Neodiprion lecontei: one gene and its partners. The protein of the gene in region 1 purifies or fractionates together with the protein of each later gene. This does not show direct contact. Links are inferred from orthologs where the notes say so. Each region holds a gene or a part of one and is shown on either strand. Other genes may lie near its edges. The genes, in order: mitochondrial intermembrane space import and assembly protein 40-B, FAD-linked sulfhydryl oxidase ALR, cytochrome c oxidase assembly factor 7 homolog and mitochondrial import inner membrane translocase subunit Tim10.

The links.
Region 2: the proteins of mitochondrial intermembrane space import and assembly protein 40-B (region 1) and FAD-linked sulfhydryl oxidase ALR purify together in Homo sapiens (co-immunoprecipitation; 3 studies listed by BioGRID and IntAct, with this or other methods). This does not show direct contact. The link is inferred for Neodiprion lecontei from reciprocal best matches to the Homo sapiens genes CHCHD4 and GFER.
Region 3: the proteins of mitochondrial intermembrane space import and assembly protein 40-B (region 1) and cytochrome c oxidase assembly factor 7 homolog purify together in Homo sapiens (co-immunoprecipitation; 3 studies listed by BioGRID and IntAct, with this or other methods). This does not show direct contact. The link is inferred for Neodiprion lecontei from reciprocal best matches to the Homo sapiens genes CHCHD4 and COA7.
Region 4: the proteins of mitochondrial intermembrane space import and assembly protein 40-B (region 1) and mitochondrial import inner membrane translocase subunit Tim10 purify together in Homo sapiens (co-immunoprecipitation; 4 studies listed by BioGRID and IntAct, with this or other methods). This does not show direct contact. The link is inferred for Neodiprion lecontei from reciprocal best matches to the Homo sapiens genes CHCHD4 and TIMM10.

What each region holds. Positions count from the first base shown.
Region 1 is NC_060266.1:758,574-765,431, forward strand, and holds mitochondrial intermembrane space import and assembly protein 40-B, read left to right. Parts: upstream 1-3,403; coding exon 3,404-3,877; 3' UTR 3,878-4,333; downstream 4,334-6,858. Other genes in the region: ribonuclease P protein subunit p14, read left to right, coding at 2,816-2,838, 3,037-3,334.
Region 2 is NC_060260.1:31,866,978-31,875,752, forward strand, and holds FAD-linked sulfhydryl oxidase ALR, read left to right. Parts: upstream 1-5,252; 5' UTR 5,253-5,360; coding exon 5,361-5,444; intron 5,445-6,252; coding exon 6,253-6,669; 3' UTR 6,670-7,843; downstream 7,844-8,775. Other genes in the region: probable ATP-dependent RNA helicase DDX10, read right to left, coding at 323-335, 696-833, 907-1,289, 1,494-1,720, 1,937-2,208, 2,348-2,524, 2,704-2,887, 3,069-3,231 and 5 more; ribosomal RNA-processing protein 7 homolog A, read left to right, coding at 8,188-8,224, 8,306-8,650, 8,771-8,775.
Region 3 is NC_060260.1:27,874,399-27,881,905, forward strand, and holds cytochrome c oxidase assembly factor 7 homolog, read left to right. Parts: upstream 1-3,638; 5' UTR 3,639-3,750; coding exon 3,751-3,853; intron 3,854-3,945; coding exon 3,946-4,080; intron 4,081-4,270; coding exon 4,271-4,740; 3' UTR 4,741-4,846; downstream 4,847-7,507. Other genes in the region: osmotic avoidance abnormal protein 3, read right to left, coding at 439-510. UniProt on the Homo sapiens protein: Required for assembly of mitochondrial respiratory chain complex I and complex IV.
Region 4 is NC_060266.1:25,976,218-25,983,582, reverse strand, and holds mitochondrial import inner membrane translocase subunit Tim10, read left to right. Parts: upstream 1-4,009; 5' UTR 4,010-4,167; exon of another isoform or gene 4,168-4,203; intron 4,204-4,434; 5' UTR 4,435-4,610; coding exon 4,611-4,904; 3' UTR 4,905-5,247; downstream 5,248-7,365. Other genes in the region: enhancer of mRNA-decapping protein 3, read right to left, coding at 1,086-1,679, 1,762-2,022, 2,128-2,273, 2,392-2,642, 2,728-2,885; regulator of chromosome condensation, read right to left, coding at 5,911-6,101, 6,200-6,472, 6,592-6,958, 7,062-7,365.

The DNA of each region.
Region 1 (6,858 bases):
GCCAAATACCGTCGCTCGTATCCCTCCGTAATTGCACAAGCGATCGCGTACGCTCATATTAGGCAATCGCTTATTGAGCTCCGACTCCAGACGCAGCCCGCGGCGTTGACCAACGACTGATTTCTCTCTTCGCCACGCAGACTTGATGCACGCTGCAACGCTGACGGACGACTGACAGCCGGTGAGCCGCGCCGATGGCCTCCGACTTCCCCCTCCTCGGACCCGGACGAGTGGCAACAACGGCGAAGAGAGCTGAGAGACGGATGAAGGGAGGTGGTGAGTGTCTTTGGCGTAATTTAAATAACCCAGGTATTGCTCAGCTTTGAACTTTGTGATCCCCTGGTAAAGAACTGTCGCGTCGCCTACTCCGAGGAAGTTTCGCAGTCCTCGGTATGGACAATTGTTCCCCGATCCTCTCGAGGACGGCTATCTCCAGAGCTCGGCCGGGCACCCTCGAGTTGCGACGGTTAAAATAAATAAAATTAACTACCTTTTAGAAATGTAAAATGAAAATTAGTTGCGCCCAGGAATGAGATAAGCGGGCAGAGCGGCGCGGCGAACGGCCGGGTGTACGAGCACAGCCTCGCTTCATCCTGCATTTAAAATGCGATCCGTAGATCTCTCGGATATCTCGATCCCGCTCTCGCCCCGGGAGTAGAGACGACGGGATGCTGCGTCAGAGGAGAGTTCTCGGTATTACTCGACAGAAGATTACACTTTGTAACTCTGCCCTCGGCTAACGCCTGCTCTCCTGGCGCAAACTCACTCTCATCCTAGGAGCGCGCGGTGCACAACGCCAATGCCAGTCAAGTTCACCTAGTTATAACTGTCTACGCACCTAAATGGTACACGGGCAGGGTACGGGCCACCATTGTTGGCGACAAACACAAACGCGAAGTCGAGGAACGTGACTGCGGGGAATCGTTCTTATCATTTTAGTTGTTTCGTTTTTAGTGTCGAACCGTACAAAGACGACTGCGCGCAGCACCGAGGTATAACAACGCTCCATTCTTCTCGTAGCAGGTAGCCAAACGTGCGTGTTCCGCCGCCGCATTGTGACGTCACTCCCGTACGGACGTAGGTATATACTCACCCACCCACCCCACCTACTCAGCTTATCCGTTCCTCCGCCCGTCCGTCCGTCTGTCCGTCCGTTTCTCCTTGCGTTAATAAATCAGCCCGTCTCCCGTACGCCGCAGATAACTCGGCGGTATTTCCTCCATGCATGCAGAGATCCGCGTAGGCGGGAGCTTCGCCAAAACATAAAACGTGACCCCTTCTCTCTCTCTCTCTCTCCCTTTCTGTATCCCTCTAATACCAGTGCATTGGTCGAATTACTTTCGGGGGTCCTCTTGACCCAACCTTCTACTTCGGTTGGAGTAACCTCGTCAATTGTTGCGCGGACACATTTATCACAGATCCATTTACCACAAATACATATATTTTAACGTTCTACGTATCCGGTAATTTCTGTCTAACCAAAGACTAAACTTATTATAGACTGACTCGGAGATAATACAAGAAGGTAGAACTTACGCGAAACCGATGTGCGTTTTTTCCCCCATGGTCGGCTCCCTGGCTGTTCCGGGGCCCTTTCGAAAGTTCGCCAACTGTCACGGATATGAAAAGTGAAAAAAAGTATAAAAGGAAAAAAATAAAAAATAACGGATGCCCAATGCGTATCTATCAACGTTGCCCTCCGATTTCACCCGGGCATGCAGGCGGACGCGGAGGCTGGCCGGCGTCGCCCCTCGAGACCGCTTTGTGGATCTGCTCATAATTTATTGGGAGCTGCCTGCCAGACCAAACCGTAACAACGCTGCGCTACGTTGCGTCGCGTTACGTCGCGTCGCGTTGCGCTGCGTCACCGAGCCGGCCCAACCTTCCTACCAGCTTCCTACCTACCTACCTACCGACCAAGTCGAGGGATTGTTCTGCAAACTTGTTCACCGATAAGCGCCGAGATATATGGACCTCGTTATGTCGCTCCGTCCGTTCTATTACTTACACTCATCCTTTCGCGGACCCTCAATCAGAGCGGCTTAAACTTACTATGCTTCAGCCCGCCCCGCCGTGTATACCACACACGTTATACATACCTATATAATCATACGCACCGTGCTAGTGTGTTAGTTACCACGTATCGTACGCGTACGTGCAATCGGTTCATTCTTGCGATGACCGTGTACGATCCTGCAGCAGAGATAACCATTGGAAATTCAGTCGCTAAAGGGTATTCTTGCTATAAGGAGTCTCCCAAATATAACGATATCGCATAGATAGGGTACCCGAAGTAGGCGTTATGCATGTACGGATGGATGACATGGTTTGCATCGATTTATTTCAGGCTGACGATGACGCACACGCTCCTTGCTTCTTGCGAGCAATTTCACTCGCGTATCTGGAATACAGTACCTATTCTCTACCGTTAAAATCTAATATTTCCATTTCCATCGAGCCTGATCCGGCAGATTATGAAGTGAAATTCGTAGGTCGCTTTGCGCCTGTACGACCACGCGACGCAACCGGGCATACACGAGATCGTTTCAATCTCTGCCGGGTTGAAACGGCATCTGTGGGGGGCAAGTTGAACCACGCGGCGTAGTTATGCAACACCGAAGTTCTAGAATTCCAGCCTGCAGGCCATACCGGCGTGGCGAATGGTCGACGGTGATACGGGTGCGTCCGTAACTATTGCTAACTTCTCGTTCTGCCGTTTATTATCAAGGAATAGTAAATTTCCCTCGAAATCGTTGTACGATTTACGCTGCCGTCAATGTGAGTGAATTGTGGCCAACGATTATTACTGTGTATCATGCGTTACTTAGACGTCTCTTTGTTAGTATGCCATTGATTTCTCGCACGTTATCGTAGTACTAACCTAACCCGGATCGGGATCTAACCTTGAATTAAGGAAAAAAAAAAATAAAGAAAGACACGGAATGCAGCTCCTCGGTCGCGAGGAGAAACTCCGTTCACCTCACTAGGGATCGTAAACATTTTAACATCTATTTTTTTTATTCTCTTCGTTTACAGAGAACTTCCCAACGACTCGAACCGTGAGATAAGTGCGGTATTTTTGAAGAAGCATGTTATGCAGGCTGTGAAAAAATTATTCGGAGCTGTTGGGGCCAAGTCGCAAGTAGATATACTCAAGTACAACGTCAGCGACCGCAGATTCGTCCTTCGCTGTCAATCCGACAGCTACGTTAGACTGAGAGCCGCTTTAACGTTGGCCAGTGACTACGAAGGGGAGCCTTGCGTTTATACCGTTCATAAAGCGTCTGCGAATCTTCTATCTCTAGCTGCCGATAGCAGGACTTTTGTTCATTAAGTAAATTTGGTAGTATTGTTCAGTTTTTTCAAGTCATAGATTTAAGGTTAAATCAATCGTCGTTTAGTCATGTCGATTGTTAGAAAAGAGGGTAAGGACACAATAATATTTGCCTCCAAAGAGGATCACGCCTCTCCCAGTAAAGTGAATCTTCCCGAACCCGAGCCAAGTCCCGGTTTGATACTGGCCAACGGAGAAATAAACTGGAACTGTCCGTGCCTCGGTGGAATGGCGACTGGCCCTTGTGGTCTTGAATTCAGAGAGGCGTTCTCTTGCTTTCACTACTCCGCCGCAGAGCCAAAGGGCTCGGATTGCTACGACGCTTTCAAAACCATGCAGACTTGCATGTCCGAGTATCCTGCGCTGTACGGAAACAAGGAAGCCGACCTCGACGATCTTGGTCAGGCTGAGAGTCAGGCGGTAGTTAGCAAAGACTCTGAAGATCCGATAAAGGACAGTAGAGAAAGCAAGAGCGATGAGAATGGGATCGAAGCGAGCAGTGGTAGTAAAAACGAGATGCAACACTCGGTAGGGTCCAAATGAGAGATGTATTTACATATTATTGACAACGTTAGATATTGTTACTTTATGTACTGCCAATTTAGTAATTCCTTCGTTAAACAATCGGCTGTTGGTCGATATATCTTCGAGGCATGTGGATCAAACAGTTGTACAAAATTTCATCTTGCCGTCGATAGATATCGAAGCTTAACCAATAGATTAGAATATCGGCAATGTTTTGTATCCCTGGTGTAGAAAGCGGTAGAATATTATCGTAGAGGAACAGTAAACTCTTTTCACTTACTACCAGTTGTAATCGTTCGAAAGCATATGGTGTGCCGAATTTCAATAGTTGTATCTATCATTCTTACGTGCATTTTTGTAACACGCACAGTTGTCTGTTGCGTGAAATTGCGATCATTTCTTTTCTTCTATGGTACTGCTATGTCACGAATAAACGAAAAATGGAGCGCTGCATCTGTTACATTTCCCAACGAACGCTGCTATTCATGTGTAATTGTGTGATTCCTGTTTATGCATATACGAGTAAACCGTGAGAGTAACATTTTGTTTCAAATGTAGAATAAACGAAGAGCAGGGGGGCCGATTCGTTACAACGCTCCAAGTCCCGTTAACGCCGTTTGAATTTGGCGCCGGATTCGGTTAGGTAGAAAGTAGTTGACGGTTCTGCCGTCGTTGGCGTTGACGCAGCGTGTGGCGGCCATGTGACGTCAAATTATCCCCCTAACAAGTTTACCGAGCACGTCGGAATCAACGAAGTTCCCCGTCCCGTATTTTCCTACCAGGATCGTTGGTTAGTGAGGGCCGAAACAGTGACGTGGTTAAAGCGTGTTATTTATACCGCATCGGTGTGATTACCTGAGCACGTTGAGTAGGATACGCGTGTGCATTCCTTGGCAGTGTCTAAGAGTGTCGGGTATTCTACGTGGGCGCTCAGTTTTTTGGCATGCGCCAGGTCGATGAAATGGAGTCTAACAATAAGCGAACCAAGCCGAAGGAAAAGCGACGGTGAGTCCTTGCACAAGTTTCTGTTCAATCAATGCCCGCTTTTTCGACGAGTCGATCTTTTTCCATCTCACGATTCTTCGCACCTGCGACACATGATGCAACGATGCGAACACCGTGTGCGTGGAGGAGCAAGCACACACCTCACTCTCCATCCATCCATCCATCTCTCTCTCTTTATCTCTCTATCTCTCTCTTGTCTCCCTTCTGCTGATCGTAATTCTTCGCGAGTGCGTACTGCGTGTAACCGAGAATTTCTCGGGCACGATTACACGTATAAACGTGATTGTGTACTATCCAACTCGCGTGATATCCCCGTCCCTTTAATTTTTTACGACTTTGGCCTGGGCACGGCGACCGTTGCGCGGGGCGATGTTTTCCGTCCGATTCGTACCCACCTTCGGTAACCTGAATAATAATTTCCCAAAAACTTTCATCTTAAAAGCACGCATACGCGTTATCGTGACAGCACACCCGCGCCTGCCGTTCGACCGTGTAACGTTGACCTCCGCTCTGACTCTGCGAATTTTTGCAGTGGGTTTCGATTCTGAAAACTCATAAAAAATCCTATCTGTAAGGAGAAAAAATACGGATTCCATTGTTACCGATGCCGTCGGGCAGTGTGAAGGGAGGGCCGAGTTGTAATTTTATCTGTCCAACAAATCTAGCCACTCGTTAGGTACTCGCGTATAATTTCATTGTTTTTTTTTTCTAATCCGTAAATATATCCCTATTGTCACCTCCGTATAGTTGAGAAGTCCGAGAACAGAGATACTCGAGGCTAAAAATATCTGTCGTCCTTACCTCTTGCAGCTCAGACATAGAGATCGGTATGTAGAAAGTGCTTGTTGATTCTTAATAATATACCTGTATAACGGGGGATTCGTTGTTTGTCGAAATGGCGCTCACAGACGATCATCCAACATCGAGCACGTATGCATGTACGTATCTACCTGGGCGAAATTCTTTCGAAATCTCACGCTCACACATGCATCGCCGATGTTCCTGCGGGAAAGCGTGTAGATTAAGATAATGAAGCAAGCGAGCGAGCGAGCAGCTGGGTAACGATGACTCGATAATTTCGTACCGCACGTGCAACGCGTGTACCTTATGCGATGTATTAAAGAGGAGGGCGCTATCCGTTTCTCTACAATCGCTTTCGTCAATTAGTCGAACGAATTAACTATTTACCAGGGATCAACAACAGCGCATGGAAGTCGTTAAACAACGATTGCGGTCGGTCAACTATCGTCGCTATAAGTCAGGGAGCGCACTTTGTCACCGAAAGCGGCGGAGGCGCAGATCGACGTTCTTTCATACGCTAACGATCGGGATCGATTATTTTGTGTAATTCCTCGAACAACCACACCCTCCTTGACATCCTCAATGCCTCGTTATGGAAATTAAATTATCCATCATCACCGAACTCCGTTTTCTTTTTTTTCTTCATTTCGTTACCTTTTCGATTATAATGTCGTAACGCGGTTGCGTTGGATTACATTGCGTTGCGTCGCGTCGCCTTGCCTTTGCCTTGCGGTCGCCGTTGCTTCCCCGGCGACTACTCGCCGATGTGGAATATTTCCACTGCCGTAGGTCGAGCAGCCGTTAGCTGCTGTTAGATTTGAGGAGGCCTCGAGTATTACGACTCGGTTATGCACGCCAAGCGACCAACTACCCTGCGTCACAAATGCCTCCGCGTTGCGTTGCCCTTACTGACTCGAGATACATGCCTCGGGAATAATAATCCCATATCGACGCCCCGAATCATTATCTATCTTCACCTGCATCACAAAATTCTCGCCTGTTTACTTCGAATACGTCTCAACGATGCGCGGGGTGCATGATTTAATGACCGGCTATTATTTAAACATTAGTCTGGCCGCATACTAGAACGACAAACTTTCCGCATTCCACTTCGATTTGAAAAATCACTGTCGTCCGCGGATCCTGAAACTCGTCATTTTCTTATTCCGCGCTAACACAGCTTGGCGTCGCAT
Region 2 (8,775 bases), on another chromosome or scaffold:
ACCTTTTTCTTATAAATTTGCCCGAAAAAAATCATGTTTACAATTTTACAACAATGATCTGACATTTTTCTCCGATTCTCTATTTCTTAATTAATACCTTTTTACTTCAACTATGAATAACAAACATGATAAGTATCTAATATTTATATATTAGATATATTTGCTAGATAACAAACGTAAACAAAATATATAGTGATGTACTTCATTTGTATGTTTCAGTTAAATAAATGATAAACTTGGTAACATCATTTTAATGGGCTGTCATAAGACTTCCTATTTACTTTGTCATTTTCAAATTTGTACTTCGTCTCGTAAAGCATTCTTACTTTATAAATCTGGAAAAATAATATAAAAATGCGAAATAATGCAAGCAACACGTGTCGGAATCCTGCACCCATTACACCCAGCAGGGGAGATTTATTTATTGATTGTATGAATAAAATTTGAACATTTGATAGTTTGCCATTTAAAAAAAAAACATTTCAATAGTTCAAAGTAGGAACGCAAGTTGTGCGTGAATCTGAGAATTACTGTTCACAAGAATAACGTTGCTTTGAGAAAATCGAGCAGGACTTGAGAATCAATGGTTCCAATATTAGTGGATTAATTTGGAATCGGACATAAATTAATTCTTATACTTCAACGTTTATTATTAATTTCATGGTTTTTTTTGTTTATGCCAACTTAGAGATTACCGATTTTTCAGAAGTTGTAAAGCAAGCTCTTCATCTTCGAGTAGACTAAGACCAACATTCTTATCGCTCAATTTAGCCTTTTTTCTATTTTTCTTTCCGTTTATTTCTTCATTATCTAACAACTTTCTTTTGGGTATTCTGTGAAAAAAAATGTATCATCAAGAACGAGACATTTTGAATGCAATTTTAAAATCTAATTATCATTCATTACCTGTCAATTTCATCAGTATCTTCACTGGCATTATCAAATTGAACAGCATCGGTATCCTCGCGTTTGCCATAAATTTTATCTGGATCTGGCAACCAGGACAGGTCTGGCTCGTTCTCATCGCTACTACCATCACTATCTCCTTCATCCTCTGCATCCTCTCCTTCTTGTTCTACCTCCTCATGAACCTTCTTTCTGCTAGCTTTCAGTTTCTGTTTCTCTTCCCGATGTTTTGCTCTTATTCTTTCTTTGAATCGTTCTTTATCAAAACGATCCTCCTCACGTAGTATCGCCTTTGCTTTTTCAATATCAATCCCAGAGCTCTCTTCATTTTCGTATTCACGTGCTCTCTCAGACATTTTAGATTTTGTAGGGTTTACAATCACCTATAAATATGTATTCATTATCGTTACCAGCAAATTTATTGCCACAATCTTCAAATTACGCCTCTGGCAAGATATTAAATTTAAATTAAGGTATTATAAAAATCAAAAATGTGTTTAACACATGTGTCATTTCATAATCTCAGAATAAAAATTGAATGTAAAAATGTATAATGTAAATAATATACATATATGAAATACAAATACCTGGCCCTCATCATCAAAAGTAGTTTTTTTATTCGCAACTATTTTCTTCTTCAGAATTTTTTTAGCTAATGCAGCTTTTGTGACAGCTTTCTTCTTTGCTGTATTTGTATTGTCTATGTTTTCAGTATATTTATCTTCCGTATGATCGTTCAGAGAATCGTTGCCGTCTTGGATGTCTATGTCTCGCCGTTTTACAGTTAGAATATTTTCGTCACTGTCACTATCCTCTATAAATGGCACACAAAATAGAACCGTACATATGGAGGAAGGTTTTTTCATATAGAATCATATATTCCATTATTCATACAACAAAATATCTTCAAAAACTGACTCATCTGTACCCCTCTAAATGCAAAATCTAAAAATACTTTCCACAAATACTCAGATGTATTCTGAAAATTTCGAACAGCTTATACCTATAAATTTTTTTTTCTTAAACTCACCATTGCCAAAAAATGTGTCTCTTCGATCCCGCGAATCAACAGCATGATATTCATTGTCACTATTCTCACGTGGCTCATTGCCACTCGTGCTATTTCCAGATCCTTTATCGGAATCACTATCTGATTCGATGTTATAATTACTTAGTTTTTGTGATATTTCGGAATTTGTAGAATCGTTTAATTTACTGAGTTTTTTCGCACGTAGATTTTCCTTCGCTTTATTGATTTTTTGAAGAAATCGTATCCTGGGTGGTATTGCCAATCCCAATGATCTGTCAAGTGTATGCGTCATGTAATGAATGAATAATTCTTGGAATGTCACTGGGATCGCACAGATTGATCACATTTATATTCACAGAAAACTTTGGGCAAGATAATGGGTAGGACCCCATCATATCATACAAAACTTACTTGGCATAGGCATCCGTATTTAGCTGATGCACGTCGAATATACTCTTGTCTTTCATAAGAAAGACGGATTTTACATAAGCAACAAAGGCTCTCTGAGCCGTCTCTTTCAGCGCCACATCTCTAGCAAGTAATGCTTCCATCTTTCTATGAGGGGACTGCAGTTTATTCGGATTGATTCTGAGAAATATATTCACATATTATACCTTTACCAATTTCTTGTCTGCCAATGTTCTTAACAATAAATACAAGTAATAATCTAAATAATGATTGCCATTTATAGAAAAGAACATGAGTACATATTACAATGTTGAGAAGCCACTTCGTTTCAGAAATTGTGTAAGTGTAAATTCACTTACTTGATAACATTAATAGGAACTTTATGTTCCTGCAGTTGCTCAATCATATTGATCTCACTTGGCAGTAAAACAAGTAAGGATTCTCCACCTCTTTGGAATCTGGCAGTTCTACCTGCTCGATGTATATAAGCATTGACATCTTCTGGACAATCCATTTGCACTACCCAATTCACCGCCGGGAAATCTAAGTTCGTAATAATTTTCATTATGAAATTCTTGTGACTGATTAAAAAAAAAGTGATAATCATGTATACAACGAATGGTACTTTCTATATACTTGAAGAAGTGAGTAAATATGACTCTTGACTTCCCAGATACATTATCACAATTTATCTAATTAATTGATAATTGATCAAACAAATTACCTAATCCTCTGGCGGCAATATCAGTAGCAAAAAGTACAGCATGCTGTTTTTTGCAAAATGCTTCATAAATAGCCATTCGTTTCAACTGGTGAAGTGTACCATACAATGCAAGCAAACTTACTCCTGGTTTTAAACGGCAAAACATATCATTCACGTATTTGACCTAGAAACCATTCAAATGTTGTACTTGTACTCAATAACCGTAAGTGATGAATCTATCACTTAGAAACAAATACCTGTTTGCAGCTGGAGAAAAATACAAGTATTTTTTGCCGCAAATGATTCCTAACAAAAGACCACAACATTGACATTTTATCCTCCAAATTACAGACAACATAACTCTGTTGTAAACGCTCTGGTGTCTTATGTGTGGCATGTTCATGAACAGATACATACATTGGATCATGTAAACTCAATCTGGCCAAATCCTTGACTGACCTATTGTGAGTTTTGGATGGTTAGGGTATGTAATCTAAAAAAACTTTTGGTAGGTAGCAATGTAATATCTGTTTAGTTGCAATATGATATACATACTTAGTTTGCGTTGCTGAAAATAAAAGTGTTTGCCGTTGAGATGGCAAATTCTCAATAATGCTATTCATCGTTTGCTCGAATCCCATATCTAAACATCGATCAGCTTCATCAAGAACTAATACCTAAAACAAACAGGGTTCAAAAATAATTGGGTAGGGCAATTCCAGATTGTAAACCTAACACAGTTGTTCAATTTTTAATTATCTAATTTCTCAGATAAGCAGCAAAGGTAATAATGAGGTAACTGAAAAATACATAGGGAAAACACATTTTGAATAATCCAAGATGTCTTTTTCCAAGCCCAAACGGTTTCAAATTCCAAAACAATAGTACTCTTTAAATTCAAATACATGCCATTATATTTTGATATTTTTCTTATGGTTCACGATTCAAACTCTTATTCAGAATAAGAAAGACAAAAACAAAATAAGTGGAAATGCCTCATTATTGAATTCCGCCACCAAGTATATACAAAATACAATATATATATATATATATATATATATATAAATATATACACAAAATTTGATTATACATCTGAGTAAACTCTACATTGATCCTTTGAATGTACCTGCATATTCACACAGTCAAATAATGGATTCTCATCCATATGTTGCAACAATCTACCAGGCGTACAGATGACAATGTTGCACTGATGCATCCGTTTTTTTTCAAAATGCAGATCTTTACCGCCGATAATAAGACCAGCCGAAAAATCATGGTAACAGCCAACTTTTCTTAAGGTTTCGTATATTTGATAAGCCAACTCCCTGGTTGGCGTGATAACCAGGGCTCCAACAGCATCCAATCGTGTCCATTGTTTACAGTACAAAATCTCTAAAATCTATTGGCAACAAAATTCATTGTCCGATAAAGTCATCTGTATTCAATTATATTATAACGGTGAAATATAAATAGAACTAGGCAGTGATTCAGATCTCCTACCAATGTTCGCAGTTAATTCATGACCATCCAAAATTGTCATGTATATATATTTACCGGTATTAAAAAGGCTAAAGTTTTTCCGCTGCCTGTTTTTGCTGCTCCCAAAATATCAAGGCCACGCAATGCTAAAGCGATGCTTTGTCGTTGAATTTCCGTCGGCTCGAGGAACTCGTTTACTTTCAAACCTCTTAGAGTTCGCTGCGACAGTGGGAGGTCGGAAAAAGTCTTGACTTTAGAAATATCGACCTAAATGGGGAGACAATTACAATTTTATAACTCTACTAGCAATCTTCAGCGCCTTCTGACGCTGACAGGTGCCATTGCACTCGGCATGCTACTCTTTAACATCATGCTACAATAGGTTAGGATATAAACAACAATACTGTAGTATGCTTGAAACTGACCGTTTTATAGGCAGCTTGAAGTTTTTCAATGATCTTCTCTTCAGGTTCATATTTTTTCTTATGGTATATCTTGACTTTTTTTTTCGTCCCTTTATTCGACATGGCAAATAATTAACCAAAATTCACACCTCAAACACGATCGTACCCTCAACAATCAGACCACATGGGATTCGATCACTGATACACAATCGTCAAGAGCCAAAAGTAGTGTGAAGAAGAGAAAGTAATTTCAATCGTTCCGCTACACTTTGTTGCACACATTTTTCACGGCGTGACCGCGTCTCCTGTACTACATACTCGATGCTCCAATCTTGCCACAAAATTCGCGTAAATATTTGAGAGGTTATGTATTGAATCACGTAACAAACATGAAATAAGCATTATCAGTTTTAATGTCACCTAAAGAGATATGGTTTTCGACAAGCCCTGTAGAACTTGTACAGATTTTAAAACATGGGCAAAATTACAGAAGGAAACATTCGATTCAGAACAAGTAAGATAGTTTTTTTTCTAGTCTACTTAATCCACATACGGCAATCTTGAATGTTCCATCATGTCGCTTGGAACAGGCGGTTTAGTAGTTAATATTTCAATTCAATGCATAATTCTTATTACTGCAAAAGTGGACATTTTTTTCTTATTATTTCAAACAATCAACCATCAACGAAGTATCTATTCGCACTAGAAAGTGAACCTTAACTGAATACTCTGGATACTCCAGCCAGGCCAAATGTTTAATTGTCTCGAATTTTACACTAAAAATTGGAGTGTCCGAACGATTATTCAAGTCACGCTCAAATTGCGTAACAAAGGTTAGATTAAATTCGGTCTCTATTATACCTACGTTACAGTTTAAATAACTATTTTACTATAATCCAAAACCACAGCAAACTGAAGATACGAACGACGCTGTGAGTGTATGTCACTCTTCAGAGAATGACTTGGAGAAAAATTTTATTTCCATAAACTTGACGTGCCTTGCAAACTTATTCAAACACTCTAATATCTTCTCAACATTCATAACACACCCATATTATATATATTTAGAGTGCTCCATATAGGTTCACTCTGTAGTGTGAATGGACATAACAAACAATTAAACGTTTTACTTAGTAGACTAGATGTGTAAATTAAGGATTAAGTCAACCCACATGAAAGAAAGTATATTCACAAATGTTCATTCTGCTGCACAGATTTTTCGTTAAGTTAATATTCACAATTAACAAGCTATTATGGTAAAGACAAAATTTCCGCTGATTCAAGATCTAATTGTTATTCTCGGTTCTTCCTTAATTGCATAGAAAACAGAACAAAAGGTGAAAGAGGCTCAGGGCTCTGCGCAGCAGGTAGAGTCTACAGGAGCAACAAATAGGCGCAATGATTGTCCTCTTGATAAAGATGAGCTAGGTTCTAAAACGTGGGCTTTTCTGCATACGATGGCTGCCTACTATCCTGATAAACCAACAAGCGAGCAAAAGACGGACATGAAGAACTTCTTCACTATATTTTCCAAGTTTTATCCATGTAATACATGCGCAGAGGATTTGCAGGTGCAACTAAAAAAGTCACCACCACAAACTGAGTCCCAGCATCAACTGAGCCAATGGCTTTGCAATATACACAATCAAGTCAATGAAAAATTAGCAAAGCCTTCCTTCGATTGTAATTTAGTTAATCAAAGATGGCGAGATGGATGGTTGGATGGTTCTTGTGACTGAGCAAATTACACATTGCAATTTACAGTCTTGTGAACTAGGTGCATAATGTTACTAACATTAAAACAATATTGAAATAGCCTTGAGACAAAACTTCAAGTTAATTAATAACAGAAATTCAGAATTTTTACTCTTTCGTCATTGGTACAATTCATCGGAATTTCATGACTGCAAGTACGTATTGAGAAATGTGACGAGGTACAGGAAAAATTTTTATTTGAAATCTTAGCATTTTTAGTAAGTTATATTCATTTGGCTATGGATTAAGCTCCTTGTTAGTGCTCCCTTAGTGTGTACTCATTCAAACAGAGCAATATAGGCTGATAAGGTAAATAATCAAACCATGGTTCCCGTTATAAATCATGGAACTTGCATTTAGAAAATTTTGTGTCTTTTATGTGTCTAGTTGTGAAATTATTAATATGATATTAAATATTCAAGTACCATGATAGTATTGATCACATGTTCCACGTATTTTACTTCAAACAAGTTGAGCTGATTACTCTGGATTTTTGTTATTTCACTTGTCTACAATTCATCTACAAAGGTTTCAACCTTCGTGTATTTTTACCTCGTTAGATATGTTATCCTAACTGCATTTGGCATTACTTTCCCGAATGTTCTGTGCTCATTTCATTAAGAATTCTCAATTTCGTTTCTGAAGAAACAACAGAATTTTATTGCGACGCAATGATTATGAATAAAAATGATAAAATAACAAGCCATCAGGAATCATCGAGGCATTTTTAGAGGAATCTGTAAAGGAATTTAGTCGTGAAAATTGATGCAAACAATTATGGAATCGAAACACTACAGACACCTGAGTCCTCTGGTATAATTCAAATTTGGTGAGTTTCAATTGTAGTATGCTATTTATAGAAGACGTTTTTTACGTAATTAGTATCATGGATGAGATGAAAGCTTAATTACAGCCACTACACTGTACACTATACATATACATGTAATAATGTTAATACATGTACGTTGTTCTTGTTAATTGTGTATATAGTGAAATATGCGTAGCATCTGATGTTCTAGTTTGCAATAAAACTGAACAAAGCAATTAAAAAAGGCAGATTAATTCTTCCTTGTAGTAATTTTTGCCTTCAGAGAGTAAATGCCAAAATTCTAAAAATAGCAGAAATTGATGCAATAAAGCAAAAGTTAGAGACAAACATTAGGACAATGTGTCTAGAGAAGTCAAAGTAAATCCCATCAGTGAACGACGAACGTGATTCAACCGTCGCATTTGCGACGAGAATAGCGTCCTACGATTGGCTCTAGATTTCTGGCTTGGTGAGGGCATATCCAACGCAGCCAATCGCGGGATGCTATTTTTGTCGCAAACGCGAATGCCGTTACAATGTAACAATTGGAAGCGTACCCTAAGGCGTTGGATACCTTACATGCGGTCAACGTGCTTACCGTGCTTAGGTTATAAATCTTAACAAATTTGTGATTCGTACAAACGCGTGTCAAGTTTGTTTTTTTTTCGACATTTCTTTGCAAATCCGGACTACAATGACAGTGAACAAGCAAATGACTAACGGATATAAAGGTATTGCAAACGCAAAATGCATATATAACAGTCGCATAATAATTCCTGTTATTTAAATTTAAAATATTTTTAATACTCCAGTGTTGTGGATTCGATACGGAGAGCCAAACTCAGAGCGGCATCAGATATTCATAAAAGAGCACTCCTTGAGGAAACAGGAGCCTCAATACCCAAAGGGACGCACGCTGTTTGTACTAAACATCTCACCCTACATCAGCGCTGATAGTATTACGAATGCATTTGCAGAGAGATGCGGCCCTGTCAAATCTGTGACATTTGCACCAAGGCATGAAGAATCTCAAAACGGATTCAAAGTCTGCTATATTGTCTTTGAAAAAGAATCTGGCTTAGACAAAGCTTTATTATTGCCTGAAAATTATGTCTTATTGTTGAAATCTACAGAAGATTCTACTACCGGTATTATAAGTAAGTGGAATATTTCTTATGAGCATGAACTATATTGCCAATCCTGTAATTATATTTTCATTGACTAGAATGTCCATAGTACACAATGAATCTCATTAACCTTGATTTCCCATCATACAGAATGG
Region 3 (7,507 bases), on another chromosome or scaffold:
CAGGTTGAGGCAAGGGGTGGCGTTATGCATGTCAGTGGATATCGGCAGTCAGCGATGTGTGTCGAATCGATAAATGCCTGGCCGAAGTAACGAATCCCCGGTTCAACCCTCCAATTACAAGATTGACCGAGACAATCGGCCGTTTCAAAAATCGAACGGCCGTTGGGTTTCGGTGGCTGGAAACACGTCACTCTTGAGTCCCAAACTCTGACATTTGATTAGGTAGGAAATAATATATCCATACGGAGATGCAACAATATGATAATTGCGTGTTGTGTCCTCGTCGCTAGGGGCTACCTTCGGTCAATATCGATGGTCTCTTACTTATAGTACCACGAGAAGGAGGCAATTTATCATTTTTCAAAATTGATTCTTGTGCACTTGACTATGTATTCCTAATTGATCTGACAGTATAGAGTTCAAGGAAGAAACACTCACCCGACATCCTTCTTGCTGCTCCCGGACGGACATCGGCCTGCATCTTAATGCTACTTTGACGGACTCGCTCATCTGCGTGTGAACAACAAAAAATAGTGACAATTCGTTCATGATTTTAATTTTGTAATATTTTTCTAGCAAAGACCAATAGTGACAAACGAAAGTAATATCCACCTCGACGATACCCTCACGGAAAAAACCTTCAACTTTGGTGTAAATTCGTACCCTCAACTCATAGATAATGCTAAATCCTTGTAAGAAAAAAGTTGAGGGTACGAATTTACACCCAAGTCGAGGGTTTTTTCCGTGAGGGTAAACTACTATTACTGCGGGAATAAGGTGTTTTTTTTTTTGTTTCTTCGTTCACTCAATATTACAGTGCTTATTATACAAGTTTTAGACTGTATGACGATCGATACTAGCTGTAATTAATAGATTAACGCCAAGCGTTGACAAATTGTTAACTTCAATGTGCTAAGTACGACACGAAATAAGAAAGTTCCATATTCTTAATTGGGCCAATTAGTTTTGATTAACTGTGTTTAAATGTTGGAAAATGGTAGCCGTAAATAAAATGAAGCAATTGAATCGGTGGCTACGGTACATAAAGATATGATAACAAATAATTACTAAGTATGATCGTAACAGTTATAGAAAAAATTCTTGACATGAAATTGTTTAAACGATAATACGCTTCCTTTCACCGTAAATTTCTAACATGGTAACGTTTCATAGAGAATGAATTTCAGTCCTGCAGGACAATTTTCATCGTCGGAATAAAACAAGACGATAGGTTACTCGGGACACTAAAATACTTGTTCGAAAATGCCTTGAAGAAATAATAGATGTTCCTTACCATAAGACAAACATAAATCAACGACAAGATCCGAAGGTTGACTATGCAGTCGTCGGCTAATGCTATTTTCGCTAGCGAATATTGAGTCTGAAGCGAAGGTCCAAGCTATTGCAGGTGAATATCATCAATGAATTATACAGAACTATAATATGAGCGAGTAGCAGCTGCGAAGAAACTTGTACGTATTGCTGCGTGAGCTGTGCAAAGACCGATCCAGGTTTGAACAAAGATCGCAACTGGCAAAGTTCTGCTCTTCGTTAGCCGGAAGTTTTTAATATAAACCCCATTATTCACGCGTTGTCGTGTAATTTATTTAGCGTTCGGATAATCGATCGATCCCCACGATAGACACGAGGTGTCACCTTTATAAGCGGGGCAACAACCGACCATCGCCTACCCCGAAACTCAAGGCTTCTTACCCTTGAACCCAGGCATCATGTGGTCAGGCATTTCGAACTACACGCGTGTACCTTTACCTTTACGTGCAGGTGTACCGCCTCTCTGCTCAGTAGATGGTAGATAAAAGTGCTTCCACCCCTGTGTCGAAGGTCAGCTTTATGTTAATGCGCAACCCCAACTCCTCGCTGTTCGTAAATATGTGAAAGATAGGATAAGGGATGACCGGTTAGCCCACTCGCTCAAGCTTTTACCGAAGATCGATCGAGCGAGCTAGCAAGGCACGAATCGAAAGTGACGTATATTTTTGTTGACTACTCTGACGAGTGCGACAATTACCCCCTGCGTTCTATCGGTGCACTGTAGTTTCGGCAACTACGATGCTAAGTGTTGCATGCTTTCGCGCCTGATTCGCGTGCAGATAACGTTCATTTATCTCTTACAGCCACGTCTAAGACTAAACTTGGTGCGCCTTCAAGTGAATAATTACCATTGGACAGTGTATAATTGGACTAAACATATAGCCGTAAGATCTGTTAACGAGGATTCGTGTGAACTGTAGAATGTGAAAATACTGAACATGTGAAAACAAAAATATCTTTTTAAATATAATGGTAAAAATTGAATTCGGTAAAAATGTATCCAAAAAACGGATTTTTGGTAAAAAAAAAAATAGCCACATTGATAGAAAAAAATCACATATATCCATTGTTCAATAGATCATCGTTTTAGGAAGCAGCATGAATAGATATAAAAGAGCAAAAAAGAAATAAAGGCATGGTGTATTTTTTTTGTTGAAATCACCACAACAGCTTAACTTGTCGTACAAAAAAGCTGACAATACAAAAACTGTAGTAAATTGACTTGATTAGCAATTAGTCTGATAATTTTTATTTTCCGTACCCTTGTCGAATGCCCATCGAACATTAGTGAACTTGTATTTTTTTACCCAACAGTGTTGCTATTGATGTTTTCAAATAATTTATGCCTAAATCAGAAAGAATGAGCAAAGTTTCCTATTCGGGCAGCAGTGGGGTCAAAAACCAAAAGCTCCCAGTCAAGGGTAACCGATGAATCGGCGTAGATATAATTGTAATCGCGTGTCTAATGAATGATTTGGTTTGCAAATATACAGCATGATGCTATTAGCAGTAGCTGTATTGCGTGAATTGGGCATCGAACTGTAGTGCCTGGCGTTTTTCCGAGACTTAACCTTGGGTGATGACGAATAGTGAAAACAGAACAGTTTCCAGTCACGCGAATCGCTACATAGTCGAACTTCATGTAGGTATGTTTATTGAACATACATATTTTTTTTCCACCACGTCGCGGTTCACCTCATCATTATAACCATCGATTGACGATGTGGTATTCAAGGGCGAGGATGGCTCAATTTTCACGTGCTAATTTATGCCGACGCGACGAAGCAGGATGCAAGGTTGCCTGCGTGTAGGCAATCCGTGTTACTTTAGGCGATTAGCGTTTATCCTTATCCCGTAACTCATTGAGAGTTGCCTACAGGCGGGCGGATTTACCGATTGTACAAAAAGATCCGAAGAAATTATTCCCAGATGATTTTGAATTGAAATTAAAATATCTGTGCATGTGGGGAAAAAGCGACGCAAGAATGTATCGTATTACCGTGCTAATCAAAGTGCGCTTTAAGTAATTAAGTAATTTCTAGTTTTCACCTCGAAGACTGCAGAGCTTCAATCAGGCTTCGTTGATCGAGGATAGTTCATGAAAACCGTGCCGTAGCTGCATGTTGTCAATTCTCGTTGCGACGGCGATATTCAATTCGCGGAGACAATAATTTCGCACAGAGCGCCGATCCAACCAAGCGCGCGACTGACTCTCAACTGACCGACTGATATTTCAAAGGGCTACAATGCTCGAGACGAGCACCGTAATTCGAGATATCGAACTTGCGCACACCCGGTCTCGTCAATCTCGTTTGCCGACGGCGCTCAAGGTTCGATTGTCTCCAATTTTCTCTCGCGAATCTTTCTCGTTCTAATGTCGTCTTTTTAATTCATATTGCGGATTTATCGTGACAGGGCATGGCTGGCTACAACTTGAAGAGCCCTGAAGAGGTGAAAGAGTATCTTAAAAACCTTCACATCGAATACAAATTCGGATGTCTCAGCGAGAAAAACCCGGAAAGTAATACCACCCTTCCTTTTATAACCTCATTTCCGACTTCCGCTGCGCGTTTAAAAGCATTCAATTTTCACATTCTGTGTTATGTTATTCAGCATGTCACCTCCTTGGAGATTACGAAGAGAGTATAAGTAAGGATTATGAAAAGTCGGCCAAAATCTACAAGGAAAATTGTGACGAGAGAAACTTTGCCCACAGTTGCCGAAAGTTTGGAGGTTATGCACTAATCGGTGAGATCAATCCCTGTATTAGATTGTTCTAAAATAGGTATACAGAACTTCAGCTAAGATTACAGAAAATGTAATGTTAAACAAAGGCTTGAACGTAAAAATTTTCATAAAGCATCCCATTACTCCGTATTTAATAACTGTAACGTGTTTGGTTTTTTTTTTTTCAATTTCATGTTAATTCTTTACAAAGGCAAAGGTCTGGATGCGGAATCACCTACAGAGTCTTACAAGTATCTGAAAAAAGGATGCGATGTTGGAGACATGATGTCCTGTGCGCATGCAGGAATTGTGGCAACGTCCTCGTTTAAAATTGGAGAGAAAGAAGTTCCCATAGATTTTCCAACGGGGCTTGATTTACTTCACAAAACTTGCCACGAGCACAAGTTGGAAAAAGCTTGCTACTACCTGTCAGGACTCTATCTTGGCGGGGTTCCGGATTACTTGGAAAAGAACATGAAGGAAGCTTACAAGGCTTCGATGAAAGCTTGCGAGCTTGGAAACGCATATGCCTGCGCCAACTTGTCACAAATGCATGCACGTGGCGACGGAGTTCAGAAAAATTCTGAACTTGCCGAAGCCTTCAAGCAACGAGCACTCTCGATTCAAAGGGCCTTGCAAGAGACCAAACATATACCGTTTCAGCAGGGTATGGGAAGCTAACGTGACTGCCAGTACGTTTGATAAATTGTTGAGACTTATTTCGTTGACATTTATGTACATTTATTTGTTTTCAATTATAGCAATAAATTAATTGTTTTTAGTTTAATCCTTGTCGTGAATATCTACCTACTAGTATGGTATTACAAACATTCATTTTACTCTCTTTAAACTGGTAACAGAAATTCTTTAAAAAACCTCCCAAATGATCAAGGTTCACACTTCTTTCAATGGTATTCAAATCTGTAGATTATCGCAAAATCCGTAAGTTTCTTCTGTTCCTGTATCCGAAATGGTTTGAAAATTAAAAAATTCACAGGAAAATGTAGAGTATAATTGCGTTTTCCATACAAAGTTAGAAACGGGCTAGCAAAAGGCTACAATGATATCGATTGACTTCGATTATAGGTAAAAGGAGCTACTTAGGTGATATTGCGTTGATCGTGGCAAATGAATTTATGAATGTTCGCTCTCACGTCACCTCAGTGGCCTATTAACAGGCGCACGAATGTGACTAACGTCTGGTCAAAGAACCGAGTCAGATAGAGTTTAACTAACATAAGAATATAATGAAGCGACGCTTTGTCGTGCAAATTGCAAATACGACGTAGAACTCGTGGAGGACAGTCATGAACGTAGTCTCAGCATGCTGATTAGAGTTCTCATGATTAAAGCTGCAGTACCTAAGCATTTGGCTTATCGATAGCTATTGAAAACTACATACATAAATCTATAATTGCGAATGAATTCAAGGATTACGAATGATGATGAAAATAATTGCAGTTAGTGATCAACCTCTAGTTATACCTGTATTCATACTTCAGTGTTTACAGTAATATCAAACTGTGCTTTTACATTGCCGTCTGTGTTGATAATATGATAAATTGACAATGGTTAGTAAGAATTGTATAAGATCAATTAGATTAATGGCTTTTCACATGGTTTCAAGATAGCACTTGCTTTTGTTGAGTTATAGTCACTGAAAGAGAAACAATTTTTCTCGTATAATGTTAAGAACTTCAATATTTGCCCACAACCACATCTGCGAAAATGCTATCACAATCGGCTTGTTACATCGTCAACGGATTGTAATAATTATAACGTATATTAGCCTTACGAATAACAAGTTCTTCCAATTTGAACTTGTCGGTTATCGTATAAAACATTCTTGGGGTAAAAGTTTTTTGACATCTAGTGAAGGTGTCCAAATCCATGTATACAATATCCTCACTAGCTCACAATTTTTTAGAAGTAAACTGCAGGATCGCTTCTAAAAATCCAACCCCGAGATTCATTAACACGCAATGAACGAATTGTTCTGATTACGATACGGACACGCCAATAGCGTATAAGGACACGATCAACGCCCACAATCGGATATCCAACACACATACCTATGTATGAATATATACTTAAATTTTACAGCAAAGCAACAACTGATTAAATACCAATATCCGAGTCAGCTGCTTTTTCCATTACGCAAATATTTCGGCAATCCAATTACATTTTCAAAACACCTGAATGTAACCCAGAAAACTCTAAAAAGTACCCAGGTAACAAGGCAATAAGTGAACAAATATTTTCCTACTACATTGTAGGAGCGACGTTGCTGGTATATATTATTTCACCTAGTTTTTGCCATAGTTAAAAAATGAATTTAAAAATATCCGAATCCATAGACTTCGCGATTACTCCGCCACTGCCTCGCAGCGATCTGCGAAGGTACAAAATTACACGCAAACAAAAACATGGAGTAAAAATTCCTGAGACAAACGTGTCTCTCGAGAAACACTGTGCAGTTGGTTACCACGCCAGTTCTGTCGCCAGTCTGGTCGGCGTCAGCAGAGTTGGACAAGCGGTCGAGGTTCTCTTCCATACTCAGGTATGTACTAAAAACTCGACCCTGTAACGGCCGATCTAGAATTGGTATTTCTAAACTGGAATTTATAAAACGACAAATCTCGATTCTCGATTATAGAAGCGATGATCAAACTCGCATGTATACTAGACGCAAACACATGCAGTTGTTATTCAAAAGTGTCGGCAGCTGAAGATTGTTTATCGTATGACTAAAGCATACGTGAGGGGGATTTAAAATTAACTCAATTTAAATCGGTGTAGTTATAAGTTTAAATCGTAATCGACGTATTGCCGGAAATATAATATTACTCGCCTGCGCGTGTTTATTTCTATATATTACAGTACCTATGTGTCTCAGTCTGTGGAATAGAGCGAGATTTTTTTACAATAGTGATCGCTTCGATGAAGAAATCGAAACCCGGTTAGTTTCGTAAAGTAATATCTGGCGTGTATCGTAAAGATTGCGGAATTTTGTGAAAAATTATAGCAACTTGGATTTGCGGTAGGCAATCACAAGTAATACGTATGCTGTGCGGATAGAGAGTTCTGAGTAACGGTTTTTCGGACCGTGAAAGTCAATATACCAGTCAGTATATAGAAATTGCGTATTTCGATCGAAACTCAGTTTGAATTACACTCGATGATGAATATTCTTACAATACATATATATTTTCAGTAATTTTAACCGTATATTGTGAAAATATACATATTTATTTTTGCAGGTATACTCATACCGATTACATGCATTACATTACATCGGAATTGCATCGTTGCTGCAAGTTTATAATGTCTGATCTTTTATACTTTTTCGAATTATATCGATGTGGTACTAAAACATTCCTCACAGTCATCTCAATATAGCCATTTTATAGCACATTGCGTTCAGAATTGATTAAGAAGTTTCGTTTGC
Region 4 (7,365 bases), about 25 Mb from region 1:
TCGTCGTAATAATATGGCTATACAATAGTACACAATCATCAACTTATGGTAGACCGTTGACAGAATCATCAACACTCGGTACTTACCCAGCACCTCTCTCTCGATATACAACTATGTATAAAATATAAATAAATTAATTAATATGATAATTACAATTTAAGCAAGTTTCAATCCATATATATATATATATATGAACTGGACGTGATTCAAGTTTATAATTTTTTTAAATAGGAGCACGGAACGAATAACAATTTGCACATTTCTTGACGCTGCAAGGCGTGAGCCAAACAATATATAAATTTCATTTTGCAACGTACAGGTTTTTTCCACCCTGTTATTAGTTTCTAACAACTTCGACAAACTAATCAGCAATGGTCGCTGAAACTATAACAGCTGTGGCCCACGATTAGATGCTATCAAAATTAAAAAAAAAAAAAAAATAATACAAACAAGCTAATAGTTATGGATACTAGCTAACGGTATACAGTAGAACCCCGATTAACTGGGATTGGTTTAACCGGGGAGCGAATTAACCGTGACCCTCTGGAGCGCCTCCGAGCTTCGCGTGAGTAACCGGGTATTAGCGGTTGTCTTGGAAAGGGATTGGACTTGTGAAAATACCCTTAGTTCACAGACTGCATCACATGCTCGGCAGTCACTATTGAATCGATCGAAAATTACTAATAATTCGGATTAACCGTGATTTCACTTATTCGTGGATTCTTCGGTCTTGAGCAGCCCAATTAATCGAGGTTCCACTGTACTCGTAATTACAAAAGTCACGTGAGACAAATTCGCTCCTAAAAAAGAGCGTATGACAAAATTAAGAAACGGACAGTAGTCCAATGTCGATTTAATTAACACACCGCGTAAATAACAAACACGCGTACGGAACACGCGACAATCGCGGGCGTTGATATTTAGATACATATTAAACTAGTTTGATGATAAAAACTGGATAATTAATTATTTTGTTCGAGTAATTAATAATCCGTGGGTCGTTGATTTCAGTTCGCATAATGGCAGATTTAGAGAAGCCGATTCTAAGGTACCTTCACGGAAGTGATGAACGTCATAGGAATCTGCTAGGAGCTGTTGGAATGAAGTGGAATAACGAATTTCGGTCCGAACGGTGATCTGTAAGTGATACCAACGTCCGAAAATACTTTAGCAGGTAGGGCCAAATTGCAAAGATACAATCTTCCGTTATCCGCGCTATGGGACAGGGGCAATCCACCAAGGAGACTGAATTTTGTCATAATTCCTGGAGTCCCAGCTGACGGGGGTTCAATTGCAAGAACTGGTGCTCTATTGCTGTTCGCCCATGTTGCAACGGGAGCAACTGTCCTTGGCGAGCCTTCCTCGCCAAGAGCAAGGAGAATGAGATCAGCTACTGCGGGAAGATTCTTGTACCGAGTTTCAACCCTGTTTCCCGATAGCTTGTACAACGACAATTCCTGCAGCAGGAAGACGTCTTCCGAATTTTCAACGTACACGACAGTCTTCACCCCGTGACTTGACAATTGGCGAGCGCAATTGACACCCGCAGCTCCTGACCTGTGGGGTCCACACAGGGCGACTACCGTTGGCCATTGGTGCGCATTGTTCGGGTTTAGTCTATGCCCACCACCCAATAGCTGTAGAATTATTTCCGCTCCTGCACGACCCAGTAACTCGACCTAAAAATTTTGCAGAGAACAATAAAGAACGGAATAGTTTGGATGAAAGTGGTTTTTAGGCCTGTCAAGTTTCTCTACTTACCCTGCGATCCCAGCTAATACCTAGTCTATCAGCAGCACCGATTAATTGACGATGGAGATCGACCGTTATGCTAGGAATTACTAATCCATCGTCAGTTACATATTCCCGGATACCAGCAGACGGCACTGCAATTTGTCTGAATGCTGTAGGTTCGGATTCTATTACGTTTTCATCGTGACGATATTTTGGTACACTTCCTCTGGTGTTTTCAGACTGACGAACGATGTCTGGCTTCAAGGAATTTATTTCTTGCCACACAGCCTGTAATAGTTTTATTTAACTAATTAATTGTTGTATAGCGCTGTAAGTGGTGTGGGAAAAGGTATGAAAAGTACAGACATCAGATTTATGAAATGCCATAATTACCTCCTTATTGAACAGTGCTAAATTTTTCTCAAAATCAAAGTCCTGCTCCATCGACTGATCTATGGGTGTTCCAAAGGCTTGTTCATCTTTCTCCTGCCATCTTTGTCGTTGCGAACTCCTTTTCTGGTTTTTTGTGCTTATCTCGCCTGGAAATAACAGTTCGGAATTGTAATTTTACTTAAGTATATCCCACAATCTTTTACACTACGATATATCAACTGACAAACGTTAAAATTTTACTACCGAAAGTGCAGGAAATCCTACCTAGATATATTTTTCCATTAGCAGCAGGCTCTGGGTGTGACTGCATAGAATCAAGCGGTTTCCGCGCATTAGATTGCTGTTGAATATCGGAATTAGGAAGTACCAAAGGTGGAATGCATTCAGAAACGGATCTACCAGCTCGTTTTGCAATGGGTCGCCTCACCGTGACTTTGCTCGAAGTCTGAACTTCATCACGGCAATCCTCAGCTTCCTCTGTTGAGATTATTTCTATATGAAGTATGTCCTTGGCACTATAAGGGAATAAAATTAGAATTAAATAATGTAAAAGATATTGTCGTTAACACCTAATCATCACCGATATGATCTAAAACTTACGACAGAACAACTTGCGGAGAGGGGTAAGGTACCCCGTTTCGAAAAGCCTTTGTCAAAGTGACGGTTTGGCCGTTAAGGTCGACAATTTGGCCTTGGTAAGTGCCAAGTGACTCATCGCACTTGACCGACACGGTACACCCTAGGAATTGCGTGGACATTGTATTGTTCTGAAATTGAAAAGGAAGATGAAGAGTGTTGCAGCAGTGTCTGTACGGGAAGTCAAGTAAATATCAGGTATGAAACTGTTTCAAAATGATTCAATGCTTGAAATACATTGAAAATACCATAACGGGTTTCGCAACCCCCTATGAGGAGCAAAAAACGAACTTTAGCAGACTTTGTATTCAACTGTAACCCGGTAAATGCTAATATAATATGTACGAACATCTATGCAGGGTGGATATACCTATTGATATATTATGCTTCGGACTAGAAATAGACGTTTTCGGCTTCCAAGTGCTGGAATACCCAGCCACCCTTTCGACCTGGAGAAGAAAACAATGGTTCTCTGCTTTTCTAGCGACAGGATATCCACCAATACGTAAGCAAAGTCTAGCCGCGCCGAGCTGATGTGATGTAGAGGTAGGTTAGAGCACGTTTATTACATTACCATTTATCCTCTCTTTGCATTTACCTTACGACTGAACTGCTCTACTGCACATCTTACGCGGTCCAGAGGACGCCACTCGACGGCTCGGCGCGTCGTATTTCATCGCACGGGGCACGATGCACGCCCTCCTTGCACATTCGTTGAATAGGATAGTTCGGATGAACGACATTGTCTCGCGTATCGCATACCGGGATGGGCGATCTTAGTAGAAAATAAACACCGGCATCGTGTTTGAATTCTTTATCATCGAACTAGCGATGTTCTTCTGAAAACATCGAAACATGGATTGTTAACACGTCGATGGTGAAAACAAGCGCGAATATTTTAAATGATTCTAGCTACAATGGTAAAAAGGAAAATGAACGCGAAAATTTTTAACTTTCATTATAATTAAAAATAAGTATTAAGTATGAGAATTCAATATAAATTAAATTAAGTATGCAAAAGTAAAATAATTAAATATACAGATTAATAGTGAAACATTTGGTAGAGAACACAGACTTATTATAAAACTTAGTAATGTGTGTTCCGTGTTTATAAATAAGTTACCGAGAATTGTTTGCTCACAAATTTAATTTATTCCCGACTTGACGACGTCGACAATTCAGTATTTTCCATCGACTATCGATGTATCGACGTTAAAAAACACCGATCAAAAACGTCGATGCTCCCGTAAAAAAACATCGATAGTCGAAACATCGATGTATATCCCCCATTCCTATCGCATGCGCTGCATGCATGCGCCATGCCAGCAGGGTGCTGTTTCATTCAGGGATCATCACGGATTCCGACATGGCCTTATCGAAGACGGCAAAAGTCGGCATTGGATGGTAGGTATGTAAATGGACGAATAAGTAACAGTGTAGGTACGTTGCATGCACTTTCGTAAAAGGCAGACAGAAATATGTGCCATTTGCAGAATCGCATCATATTTCATATCAAATTTTTTCAATCTTTGTATTGGATTATACAACATAACCCGTTTAGTACGCATGCATGTAAGCAGCTTTCTTTCGCGGCAGCTATCATTGGTGAACGATCATGTCATCTCCAATTTTCCTCGTGACAGACCATAAAATATAGTTTTTTTTTTCCAGGACATTCGCCGTATTTGGAGGGTTGTACGCTTTTGTCTTGTCCAAACGATCCATAGAACGGAATCGCTATGAAATGATGAAAGCGAGGGAACGTGTACGAAACTCCAACTTTGAATAGACTGACGGAAAAGTTTGTCGAGGCCTGAGCAAAGTTTAGTTTATTATATATTGTAAACATGGCTGGTCTACCGCAGCTTGACGAAGAGAAGCTCAAATTAGTCCAGGATCTAGAAATAGAGATGATGACGGACATGTACAATCGCATGACGTCTGCCTGCCATAGGAAATGCATTCCGCCAAAGTACTCTGAGGCAGAGCTCGGCAAGGGTGAATCAGTTTGCTTGGATCGATGCATCGCCAAGTACTTGGACGTCCACGAGAAAATCGGCAAGATGCTCACCCAGATGACTATGCAGGATGCGGACTCTTTACTAAAGCCGAAAGAAATAGAACAGACTAAAACGGGATGAAGTTAAATGACTTCTATATTGTTACCTAGTTAGTTGTTTAAATCCTAAGTAGTTTCCATAATAGTGTGACATATAAAATCAAAATATATTTATGATGTCAAGTCTATCTGTTTCGCTAGTTTAATTTTGAATTTTCTACAATTTCTACACCATAAGCAGGACTTTCTTCAAATTCTTCCAAGTCCGTGTACTATCATCTAGAAGAAACTATGCTTTGCTCTGCAACTTGTGTTTCTATCCGATTTAATAAATAAGAATTCAATTAATTATCCGTTACTGGATTATACTGTTAATTTGTATTTCTTTGACATTCAACTGCAATTAAACTTGATGATAAAATTAACGTGTCTGATTATGGTTTTTTAATGCTCGACATTGAAAGGTCACAACATTCTTGTTTCGTCGAGTATAATAATTTATGAGCCAAACAGGTGCAGTAACGTTTTGTGAACAGTATATTGATATATGTAACAACGTTGGGTACAGGTAGATGCATTATCCGAGGTACGGTTATCGCACGATTTGCTGTAATAAAAAATATTGTCTTTGGCGTGCAATCGCTCCTATCTTTACAGAAATCCGTGTAAAACATTCAGTCTTTCATGACGCATATTGATTAGGGTTTCACTCTGGGCAGTGTAGCTCCACGAGAGTAATAGATGCGGCAAAACAGTGAACAAGACAGTAAAAAATGTTTACCCCATAGCATAATTTTACCGTTTCATACTGACCCTGCCACTCGAATATCGTATGAAAATATTTAATACCGAGCAAATTGTCTCGGAGGAAACAAAGAATTGATTGTTGTAGCAAGAGGGCAAGTATCAGTACATACCGTGGTACGCTACCAACGCTTGATTACATGCACCTTAAATACTTTTCCATTATTAACTGTCCAGGGCAACGGAACTTGCGAATCATTCAATAATTTCTTAAAAATCAATAGTAAATATAGATAACTGAGCCATTAACAGAGCTACACCGGAATTTTGTCAGATCACCATATTTAATTAGTGATTTCATCCTCGATTGGTCGAGGTATAGCCAAAATAACTGTGTGTTGACCACCACCTGCTACTCGTATAACAGTTCTCGATTCTAGTTGTCTTCCTTTGATAACAACTGGTGTCTCGACGTCCTCTTCTTTCCCTGTGCCTAACTGGCCACTGCTACCCATCCCCCAAGCATATAACTCTCCTGCAAGTTGCAAAATAGTTATCCCCTAAGAATTGTGTTCAATGCAAGGTCGTAATTAGAGATATTAATTGTAAATGTAAAATGAGCAATTCAATCACCTGCACTGGTGACAGCAAATGATTGTGTACTTCCCGTACACGCGTCTATGCATTTAATTGATTTAAGAGCCGGAACTGGAACAAGTTCCTTGGCATCTGTGCAATTTGGTCCAAGGCCTAGTCGACCATATTCTTTCCGTCCCATGGTGAAAACCTGTCCCATTTCATCGAGGGCAATAGTATGGTGTTGACCGCTGCTGATGTGTTTCCATGCACGACCGCTGAAGGTTTTTGAAACTTGAGGGTAAGGATGTACGATAGCTTCTGTAAGACCTTAAACACAATTTCATGTACTGTGTGAATAATTAATAATATAAAAGAAAAAATAAAAGAGCATAGATTAATAAGAGATTGATGTTGGCACAGTATGCTTGATGGTATTCATAACTCACCTATTTGATAATAATTGTTTAATCCGAAAACATATATCTCCCCGTGGTGGTATTCTTTCACAAATGTACAGTATAATCCTGTCCAAATATCTTGAAATAATAGCTTTTTTGTTGCCTTGAGGGTAATTAGTCCTGGAGTTAGAAGATGGGTAATCCCATACCGACTGTGTCGGTCAGCTGATCTTGCAGCTACTCGTCCAAGCTGCCCCTGCTCAGCACAGCCACAGGTATATACCTGACCTTTACCTGTCAGTAAAACAAGATGGTCGGCCCCAGACGCGATTTTAATCACTTTTACACCAGGTAATATCTCCACGGGAAGCCTCTCGTTTCCTCGAGGTGTAAGTCCCATATTTCCGTGTGAATCCTTATTTTGAAACATGATAAAGGCAAACATTAATTATTAGTTAAACTCTATTTGAAATCTCCAGTCCTGCCGTTTAAATCTATATCGCAGACTTGAAACTAACCCTGAAAGCCCCCCACGCAAATACCCTGCCATCCTCAAGGAGGGCCGCCGAATGCGAGTCACCGGCAGTGACCTGTACAGCTTTTTCTGGGAGCGTAACAAATCCTGGAAAAGTCTCCGAGCCTTCTTTGCTAGTATCTCGTCCAAGCGCTCCCTCGTCATTACAACCAAAGGACAAAACTTTCCCATCTTTATTTAGGCATGCATTGTGCATTCCACCTGCTGCTATGTCAACGATATCTTCATGTTCAGGTATGACGGCAGGGCGCGTTTTTTCATGCACATCTTCGCCCAGCCCAAGCTGA